Caenorhabditis elegans: one gene and its partner. The protein of the gene in region 1 interacts with the protein of each later gene in a biochemical or structural test. Each region holds a gene or a part of one and is shown in the gene's direction. Other genes may lie near its edges. The genes, in order: atx-3 and cdc-48.1.

What was found.
Region 2: the proteins of atx-3 (region 1) and cdc-48.1 form a complex in vitro, tested with the Caenorhabditis elegans proteins (one study listed by BioGRID).

The regions. Positions count from the first base shown.
Region 1 is NC_003283.11:15,574,768-15,579,225, reverse strand, and holds atx-3 (Ataxin-3 homolog), read left to right. Parts: upstream 1-1,782; 5' UTR 1,783-1,899; intron 1,900-2,338; 5' UTR 2,339-2,347; coding exon 2,348-2,515; intron 2,516-2,563; coding exon 2,564-2,709; intron 2,710-2,759; coding exon 2,760-2,914; intron 2,915-3,059; coding exon 3,060-3,544; 3' UTR 3,545-3,728; downstream 3,729-4,458. Other genes in the region: F28F8.7 (ELM2 domain-containing protein), read left to right, coding at 1-133; F28F8.9 (uncharacterized protein), read left to right, coding at 740-769, 821-1,006, 1,069-1,147, 1,194-1,315, 1,418-1,573; Coiled-coil domain-containing protein mdt-28, read left to right, coding at 3,830-3,887, 4,152-4,458. UniProt on the Caenorhabditis elegans protein: Acts as a chain editing deubiquitinating enzyme that binds and cleaves 'Lys-48'-linked polyubiquitin chains, with a preference for chains containing four or more ubiquitin molecules thereby modulating protein degradation by the ubiquitin-proteasome pathway.
Region 2 is NC_003280.10:10,559,471-10,565,480, reverse strand, and holds cdc-48.1 (Transitional endoplasmic reticulum ATPase homolog 1), read left to right. Parts: upstream 1-2,073; 5' UTR 2,074-2,090; coding exon 2,091-2,288; intron 2,289-2,416; exon of another isoform or gene 2,417-2,529; intron 2,530-2,566; coding exon 2,567-3,394; intron 3,395-3,440; coding exon 3,441-4,513; intron 4,514-4,546; exon of another isoform or gene 4,547-4,764; intron 4,765-4,768; coding exon 4,769-4,963; intron 4,964-5,012; coding exon 5,013-5,148; 3' UTR 5,149-5,450; downstream 5,451-6,010. Other genes in the region: C06A1.7 (uncharacterized protein), read right to left, coding at 80-472, 519-569; C06A1.6 (uncharacterized protein), read left to right, coding at 805-870, 914-1,306. UniProt on the Caenorhabditis elegans protein: ATP-dependent chaperone which probably uses the energy provided by ATP hydrolysis to generate mechanical force to unfold substrate proteins, disassemble protein complexes, and disaggregate protein aggregates.

The DNA.
Region 1 (4,458 bases):
TTTCCAAAAATGCGGTTATCAAAATGGACATCACATGATCGTTGAAGTTTGCCCAGGAGTAGCGGAAAAGCTCAAGACGATGATTGTTTCGGTGAAAAATTCGAAAAATTTCGAACGAGTTCAAAGACCATAAATCACATATCCTATTGCATTTTTTTCGGTTTAAAGTTACTTTGAAGGCGCAAACGTTATCAAAAGACGAAGATTTTATGAAAAAATTTTAAAAATAAATAAAATAAAAATATTTTCGAAATTCAGCAAAAAATAATGATGCAAAAATAAACCATTCGCTACGAGACCCATCGAATTGCAATGACGCTTGCGCCTTTGAAGTAACTGTATGTTTCCCTTATTTTTTTTAATTCCAAATCCCTGTACTTTGACTATAAATTTTTGTTGTTTTCTTACTTTGCACATTTCTCAATTCCCGAAGTTATTTCGACATTTTTAATTGCTTTCCCTTTTTTAAATTTAAACATTCCCCCGGTTCTCACTTACAAAAGTGATATTCTGTTGATATTCTTGTTTCTCGTTTCATAATGCTGGTTGAATTATCCAAAAACTCAACTTATACTTCAGTTTTCAGTTGAAAATATTGTTTTCTTTACCCAAATCGAGAGATTTCAGGTTTAATATTCGAATTAACCGCTAAAATTTGCTTGTGTAGATTTACGCTAAACAAGGCTCCGGCGCAACATTGGAGTGACGTCGGCAAATTTCTTCAGCGAAATTTTTTTTAATGGAAATAGATGAATTTTCTTGTCAACTTGTTCGTTTTGCCCCAGATTTCCTTCTTTACGCTTTAAATGACTTATTTCAGCTAAAAAAAATGGCCCGCTACCTTCTCGGCGCCACAATGTACGTGGAAGACGTGCTTCGAAGAGACGATTGGAGTTTAGAAGAAACAGAAAATGTGAAAAAATACTTCAAAAATGTGAAAAGCTTCAAAATTCCGAAGATTGAGAAACGAAAAGCCGAGGAATTTGATGAGCCATGCAGAAAGAGAGTAAGAATTTATTTTTCAACAGTTTTTTTCTATTTTTTACATATTTTTCAGTCAATTTGCAGTGCCGAGTCGAGAAGGAGAAGTTCGAAAATGATTTGCAGGCTGGCATCCGATTAATGACACTATTTGCAGGATTTGAAGGTAGAAAATTGAATTTTTCATTCATTTCCATATTTATTTGGCTTAGAAATCGACGAAAAAGCGCTGGAAAGGCTCACAGATTTGGCAAAACTTCGAATAATCACATCAGCAAGACAGATGGCGATTGCTCAGCGGAGACGGAAAGATGGCTTCGAAATTCCTTTTAAAGTAATATAAAAATTTAAAATTGAAGATTTTCTACAAAAAATGACACGTTGTATAAATTATTTCTCAATTTTTTACCAAAAATTATATCAAAAATCGTTACAGAGCCCCGTGGAATGGACGTTGAAGCTACAAGGCGTTCAAAAAGTTCTCGACATCAAAGAATGGTATGACGTCACGTATTGGACGAGATTTCGCGCATTGAAGATGCAATTAATCGACGAAAACGGAGACTTGAAGTCGCCGAAAAACCAGAACTAATTCTAATTTCATGTGACATATTTATTAACTTATTTATTGATTTTCTTCTGTGAATTTTGCATAAAACTAGCCAATTTCTCTCGATTTCATTGTAAAATGTCGTATATTTTTTCGAGGTTGTGTTTAAGCCTTATTATATTTACGATACGATTTTTATGACTTTTTCAATTTCAGAACAATATTCTGCAGAATACTTTGACTTTTTTCAGCTCCAAAACATACCGAAATTCTTATTTCAAGCTGAAATTCTCGAAAACCTTTTGAATAAAGTCAATAAAACGTAGAATAAACAACACGCGGTGTCGTTATTTCGGAGCATCGTTGAGGTTTTTTAATTTCGTTTTTTTTTCGATTTCATCAAATTTCACATTTTTCGTAGGTTGTCAAACGAAATTGGTTATTTTTGTTGAAAAACAAGTTATAAATTGACGTAATTTTATTAAAATAAGTTTATCCTGTAAAAATTCTAACAATATATCCGATGGTTTTGCAGTTTTGTGCTGGAGTTCCATGGAAAACATTAGAAGTCGTGTTGTTTTTTTCGAAAAATAACAGCTTGTTAACAATTCTTCGCGAATTTTCCTATAAAATCTCAATTTTTTTTTTAAACCTATCCGTCTTACAAAAAATATCGATTTTGGCATTCAGCATGAGGAATATTATTGTGAAATCGAAAAAATAAAACTATTTCCAAGTTTTCTTCTCCAAAATTTGAGGTGTTTTATTTATTTTCTCCATTCGTTTCCCTAATCCAAATTTTTCCAGCTCCAAAAAATGTCAAAAGACGATCCGATCAACTCCATCTTCTTCGAGCACCAGGAAGCTGCTCTTTGTGCTCAACACGCGCTGAATATGCTCCTACAAGATGCTCTGTACAAGTGGCAAGATCTCCGAGACTTGGCCATTCAGATGGATAAAATGGAACAACAAATTCTGGGAAATGTAATGGAAAATACGAAAAAATTTTAATTGAAATTCTTGATTTTTCAGGCAAACCCAACTCCGGGACGAAGTGAGAACATGAACGAAAGCGGCTACTTTTCAATTCAAGTTTTGGAGAAAGCACTTGAAACATTTAGCCTCAAGCTCACAAATATCGAAAATCCTGCGATGGTGGACTATAAAAATAATCCCTTGTACGAGTTACCATATAATTTACAAAAAAATTTCATAATTTCCAATTCAGAACCGCCCGTGCTTACATATGCAACCTCAGAGAGCACTGGTTTGTGCTCCGAAAATTCGGAAATCAATGGTTCGAGCTGAATTCGGTGAACCGTGGGCCCAAATTGCTCTCTGACACTTATGTTAGCATGTTCTTGCATCAAGTGTCGTCGGAAGGTATAAATTCATGAATTTTGAAGCTAAATTTTGATAATTAGAGCCAGATTTTTATTTATCCCTAAACTACAAGCTGTAGCGTTGATTTTTTTTTCTGAAAAAAAGTTCCAAAAATCGAAAATTATTTTAATTTATCAATTTTCAGGTTATTCAATCTTCGTGGTGCAGGGAGTTTTGCCAAGATCCGATGCAGACGATCTCATCTCGCTATGCCCAGTTGTACCGCCAAAAGTTACACCGAAAAAGGAGCAGAAGCTGGAGAAAGTCATGACAAAATTCTTCAATACCGTCGGAAAACGACTTGGCGGTGGAAGCGGTGCTCCTCCGGATTCTCAAGAAGAAAAAGATTTGGCGATAGCTTTTGCAATGTCTATGGAAACAAAGGATGGCTCTGAAGTGTCTCGAAGTTCCGCTGAAATCGATGAAGAAAATCTCAGAAAGGCGATTGAGCTGAGCCAGGCTCCAGGACCATCAGAACCGGCTGAGATACCGCTATTGACTCGTTCTCGATCTTCGACGCCGCCAGGAGCTTCAGAACCTTTTTCAAATGCCGAACAACAGCGCAGAGATCGACAAAAGTTTTTGGAGCGATTCGAAAAGAAGAAAGAAGAGAGGAACGATGAAAAATAACGATTTAATCGTAAATTTATTATTTGAATTCTATTATGTGAATATATTCTCGGCTTTTCCTGTATAATTCGATTATTCATTTCTCCCGATACTTGTATCCCCAAATACTTGGTGCTTATGTATGAACCGCTTTCAGACTATGTGATATATTATTTAGAATTAGATGAAATCTCCTTTTTTTCTGAATTTTGTTGCCCTTTTCAAAGTTATTCTGGCATTCCATGAGTATTACTACCTTCAATTTTAGAGTTTTTGGAAAAAATAATCATTTTTTTTAGATTGAAAATGTTCGAGGAATTGGATGCAGAGGACGGCGGAGAAGAACAGGAAATGCCAATGAATGGTGATTTTTGAAAATTCAAGAAATTTTTCGAATTCGAGCTTAAGCTAGTGCTCCACGAGGAGTAGGATTTCCCAGTTTTTTTACTCAAAAGAAGAAAATGGCAATATCTTAAGCTATTTTAATACAAAATTTGATAAAAATTGAATTTTTTTGTTAATTTTCTGATCATTTTTTCCCGATTTTCTCTGAAAAAAAAAACTTTAAAAAATTATTTGATGGCACCCTTGAGCCGAAATAATAAAAATATTTTACAAAATCTAATAGTTCCAGAATTCGGCGGCGGCGGTGAGGACATTGACGATATTCTCGGCGATGCTCCGGATCTTCCAGACGACGAATACTCGAATAGTGTTCCACAAGGAGCCGCTGATGGATCCATTGAAAACGACGAAAGACGAATGAGAAATGATGGAGCCGGCTCAACGAACGAGGATGACGAAGAGCCGATCGAGCCAACTTATCTGGGCGACGCAATCGATTCGCTTATGATGCATTGGTGTCAGCTGCTGACGAATGTATCGGTTAAAGCGCCCGTTCCACCACCATCAACACTTAATCATGTTAAGGAAGT
Region 2 (6,010 bases), on another chromosome or scaffold:
CAGGGTACATAAGAATGCTTTATTTTAACCTTCTTGTTTATTAAATTAAATTTAATTAATTAAGAAAATAGATTAAGGTTCAACATTTGCCATTGGATGACCTTCTTCTGATTCCAAGAGCACGATTAGCTTCATCAATTTGAAGCTTTTGAAGGGAACGACGCTTACGGCCTCCACCTCCACATCCACAGCATCCGCATCCGCAACCACATCCACAACAGCATGGTCTACAGCAGGTACAACATCTAGTACAGCAACAAGTTCTACAACAAGTACAACAACATTTGGGTCTACAACAGCAGCAGCATCTTGGTCTGCAGCAGCAACATCCACATCCACCACCACCTCCTCCACATCCACAACATCCACAACATCCTCCATTTCTTTTAACACGAGAAGATCCGATAATTGATGTTTCAGATGAAATTATAGATATTTCTGTTGTTGATACTGGCAAAACTCCTGATTCAACCTATAATAGTATTGTGTTTTCTAACATTTAGAACCTTTACCGATACCTGTGAAATAGCAATAAGGGCAAAGAGAGTCAGAAGTACGATCTTATTCATTTCAGATTATTAGCGTTCGATATGGTTTTCGAATTTCCATCCATTAAATACCCTCTTCTTCTTACGTGTTTGTCGTCTCTCATTTGACACTTTTGCCGGAAACCATTTTTTGTGATCTCTCCGCGCGAGCCGCGTCATGGAAATTGAACACAAAAACTAAGACACTTTGGATCATGGAAAAGTTATATAAAAGCACCATAAAATTGAGATATTCATCAGTTTCTATTCGATCAAAATGACCAAATTCATAATTGGATCTACATTAGTTGTACTGATTTATACAATTGTATCGATTTCACAGGTTAGATTAATAGATTTAGTTCTCGTATTTAAGAAACTTATAGGTTGAATCAGGAGTTTTGCCAGTATCAACAACAGAAATATCTATAATTTCATCTGAAACATCAATTATCGGATCTTCTCGTGTTAAAAGAAATGGAGGATGTTGTGGATGTTGTGGATGTGGAGGAGGTGGTGGTGGATGTGGATGTTGCTGTTGCAGACCAAGATGCTGCTGCTGTTGTAGACCCAAATGTTGTTGTACTTGTTGTAGAACTTGTTGCTGTACTAGATGTTGTACCTGCTGTAGACCATGCTGTTGTGGATGTGGTTGCGGATGCGGATGCTGTGGATGTGGAGGTGGAGGTCGTAAACGTCGTTCCCTTCAAAAACTTCAAATTGATGAAGCTAATCGTGCTCTTGGAATCAAAAGAAGACCATCCAATGGCAAATGTTAATCCATTAATCTATTTGTTTAATTTATTCTAATTCTCGATCGGGAATAAATAATTTGGAAATTATTCAACTTATTAAATTCATAGATCTGGGAAACTATCAAGAATCAAAATCTTAAGACTATTCTCCTCTCGTCTCGTTTCACATCTCTTCGTTCTCCGTCTATCGATCGGGTGATGCTGCAAATCATTTTTATCGATCTACAAAGTGCTGCATTTACTAACGGCATATCGTTTCGAGACCCAAACGCTGATGTGCGTTATTGCAAATAACAGTTATTTTTCCAAACCAGCATTACATTACAGTCCACTTTTTTTCCTTTTCATATTTTCATCCTGGACCCAGCTACATACATTACCGCAAACGTGCAAACGGTAGATTTTATTTACTAGTTCCTTTTTTCCGAAAAATTTCAAAAAATTGTAAACTGCGTTTCCGTTTTCAAAGAACTTTTTTGAAGTTTCAACGCTTTTCATCGCAAATATTTACAAATACGTCTCGTTATTTAGAAATTTTAAAATTTTTTGAACAGTGAAAATCCTTTTCAAACTTCGCGCTAAAATTATAAAGCAACCGCGCCCTAACGTCAGAATCACCAAACACTTTTTGCGTACACTTGTTGAAAACACGCTTCTATATGCGTGGATGATGACAATTTTCAAATCTGTGTCGTTTTTAGAAATAATTTCGTGAACTTTTTTAAAATCTCAATTTTCTTTTATAGTTTCGTTCCCACTATCATTTTGGACACTCATTCTTCTTATTTTAGGTCTTAAATTGTACATAATGGCCTCGGTTCCAACGCATCAAAGCGAAAAAGAGAAGAAAAATGATGAGCTGTCGACAGCTATTCTCAAGGACAAGGTAAAGCCGAATCGCTTGATCGTCGATCAGTCCGAGCAGGATGATAATTCCGTCATCGCAGTTTCCCAAGCTAAAATGGACGAACTGGGACTTTTCCGTGGAGATGCTGTCATCCTGAAGGTATGTGTTTCTTTTTAATTTTTGATTAAAACGCACAATTTAAGAACTTGTAATGTCTGTGATTTACAATATAGGCTGAAAAACGTTCTGTTTTGAAGCTAGTACTGTTTATTTGCTGATGGTTTTATGAGTGTCATAGTTGTGCGATATAGATCAAGTAACGAATCGTTTCAAAGTATTTCGTAATCCTAACACCACGCAAAGGTGCTGATCTCGATTTTTAAACGGTTGTCACACAATTAAATTTTATTTTTCGATTCTAATGATTATTTTTGCAGGGAAAGAAGCGAAAGGAATCTGTCGCCATCATTGTCTCTGATGAGTCCTGTCCAAACGAGAAAGTTCGCATGAACCGTGTTGTCCGCAACAATCTTCGTATTCGCCTCGGAGACGTCGTGAGCATTACGCCAGCTCCAAATCTCAGTTACGGAACCCGCATTCACGTGCTCCCTATTGATGACACTATCGAAGGACTCACTGGAAACTTGTTCGATGTTTTCCTCAAGCCATACTTCCTGGAGGCTTACCGCCCACTTCACAAGGGAGATATATTCACTGTTCAAGCTGCCATGAGAACTGTGGAATTCAAAGTTGTCGAAACTGAGCCAGCTCCAGCCTGCATTGTGTCACCTGATACCATGATTCACTACGAAGGAGATCCGATCAAGAGAGAAGAAGAAGAAGAGAGCATGAATGATATTGGTTATGATGACTTGGGAGGAGTTCGGAAGCAATTGGCTCAGATCAAGGAAATGGTTGAACTGCCACTTCGACATCCCCAACTTTTCAAGGCTATTGGTATCAAGCCACCACGTGGAATTCTTCTCTTCGGTCCACCTGGCACAGGAAAGACTCTTATTGCACGTGCTGTTGCTAATGAAACCGGATCTTTCTTCTTCCTTATCAACGGACCTGAAGTAATGTCAAAGATGTCTGGAGAATCCGAGTCAAATCTTCGTAAGGCTTTCGAAGAATGCGAGAAGAATCAACCAGCTATTCTGTTTATTGACGAAATTGACGCCATTGCACCAAAACGCGAGAAGACCAATGGAGAAGTTGAGCGCAGAATTGTTTCTCAATTGCTTACACTTATGGATGGAGTCAAGGTATGCTTTTAAATTTTATATGATTCGATAATAATAATTATTTTAGGGTCGTTCTAACCTTGTGGTCATTGCTGCAACAAATCGTCCAAACTCGATTGACGGTGCTCTTCGTCGCTTCGGAAGATTCGATCGTGAAATCGATATCGGAATTCCAGATGCAGTCGGCCGGCTTGAGATTCTGCGCATTCACACGAAAAACATGAAGCTCGCGGATGATGTTGATCTTGAACAAATTGCAAATGAATGTCACGGATTCGTTGGTGCCGATTTGGCATCGTTGTGCTCGGAAGCCGCTCTTCAACAGATTCGTGAAAAGATGGAGCTCATTGATCTCGAAGATGACCAAATTGATGCAGAGGTTCTTAATTCACTCGCTGTCACAATGGAAAACTTCCGTTTTGCTCAAGGAAAGTCTTCCCCATCCGCTCTCCGCGAGGCTGTTGTCGAAACTCCGAATACAACTTGGTCCGACATTGGAGGTCTTCAAAACGTCAAGCGCGAACTTCAAGAATTGGTTCAGTATCCAGTGGAACACCCAGAAAAATATCTCAAGTTTGGAATGCAGCCATCAAGAGGAGTTTTGTTCTATGGGCCACCAGGATGTGGTAAGACACTTCTTGCCAAGGCAATTGCCAACGAGTGTCAAGCCAATTTCATCTCCATCAAGGGTCCAGAATTGCTCACAATGTGGTTCGGAGAATCGGAAGCTAACGTCCGTGATGTCTTCGACAAGGCTCGTGCAGCTGCTCCTTGCGTGTTGTTCTTCGATGAGTTGGATTCGATTGCCAAGGCAAGAGGTGGAGGCGCCGGCGGTGATGGAGGAGGTGCATCGGATCGTGTAATCAATCAAGTGCTCACCGAAATGGATGGAATGAACGCGAAGAAAAATGTGTTCATCATCGGAGCTACAAACAGACCTGATATCATTGATCCAGCTGTTCTTCGTCCAGGTCGCCTTGATCAGCTTATCTACATCCCACTCCCAGACGAAGCTTCTCGGCACCAAATTTTGAAAGCTTCTCTTCGTAAAACCCCACTCTCCAAGGATCTTGACTTGACCTTCTTGGCCAAAAACACTGTTGGATTCTCTGGAGCCGATTTGACCGAAATTTGTCAGAGGTGAGTAATTTAATTATTTGAAAATTTGTTCAAAACGCACAACTTAAGAACTTGCGAAATCTACACATTCTTGGCTCTTCTTAGCTGCGTTTTGCAGTTCAGATTCTGCCAAGTTTTGTGTTCATGGTTACGCGAGTGTCATATTTGTGCTATATAAAAAATCGTCTCACAGTAAATTATAATAGTTAGAGTATCTAAAGTCGCGCTAAGGCCCCGATATTCTATTTTTCCTGGTGTGAACGATGACATTTTCAGAGCGTGTAAGCTGGCTATTCGCGAATCGATCGAAAAGGAAATTCGGATTGAGAAGGAACGTCAAGATCGCCAAGCTCGCGGTGAGGAGCTCATGGAAGACGATGCAGTTGATCCAGTACCAGAAATTACTCGTGCTCACTTCGAGGAAGCCATGAAGTTTGCCAGACGCTCTGTTACAGACAATGACATCAGAAAGTGAGTTTTGATAATGGTTTTATTGTATGTCTATAAAATATGTTTGTAGGTACGAAATGTTTGCACAAACATTGCAACAATCTCGTGGCTTTGGAAACAACTTCAAATTCCCAGGAGAACAACGCGGAAGCGATGCCCCATCTGCCCCTGTACCTGCTCAGGATGATGACGACCTTTATAACTAATGTATTGAGTTTATCTACTGAGTCTATGTATGATACTCGTTTTATTTTCTCCCATACCCACTTTTTCACCTCGTATTTCACCCCTTTCCAACCCCCGATTTACCACTATTTATTGTAATTGAGCCCATGTTTTCGCTTTAGAAATTAATGGTTACGGATGATCTTCGCGAGAAGAAAAAATTTGTAGATACCTACATCCCAGTTGATCAAAAAGTATATCCCATTTATTTTTTTGCATCCCTCCCAATGTTTTGTATGTATTGCCGTTTTTGACATATAAATGTACGATGTCTGTAATCATAATTGTGTACGATTGTGTTGCCATATTCAAACTATTATTTGTGATTGTGTAGGTGGAATTGTCTCATGACCAATGACTGGTTGTTCCGTTGATAATGGGAAGCTGTATTTAAGATAAGTTGCCTAAGTTTAACGTAATTTTTTGGACCAGGTTTTAATATCAATCATCAAACCTATTTAGCGATCCAGTTGTTCTTGATCTTTTGGAAAGTAGAAGTGCTTTTTCATTCATTGATATCATTTTCCATCGATATTGTCTCCACACTCATAGGAGTGCACGCATTTCGTACATAGTCATGAGGTTTTTAACAAAGAAAATGCCGAATTGAGTACTATAGTTGCTTATCTTCAAGCTTGTTGAACTCGTTTCTGGCCAATTTTCAAAAATTCCTTGTCCTCGTTGTCTGTCACATGAATCTTTTAGATCAGATATTAATATTGATAGTAACTGATAAGTGCCAATAGTTTTCAAATTCTTAAAAATATCTGAAAACACAAAATTTGCCGCAAATATGCACATTTTTGTAAGAAACACCGTCACGAACAAATTCACACTACAGTG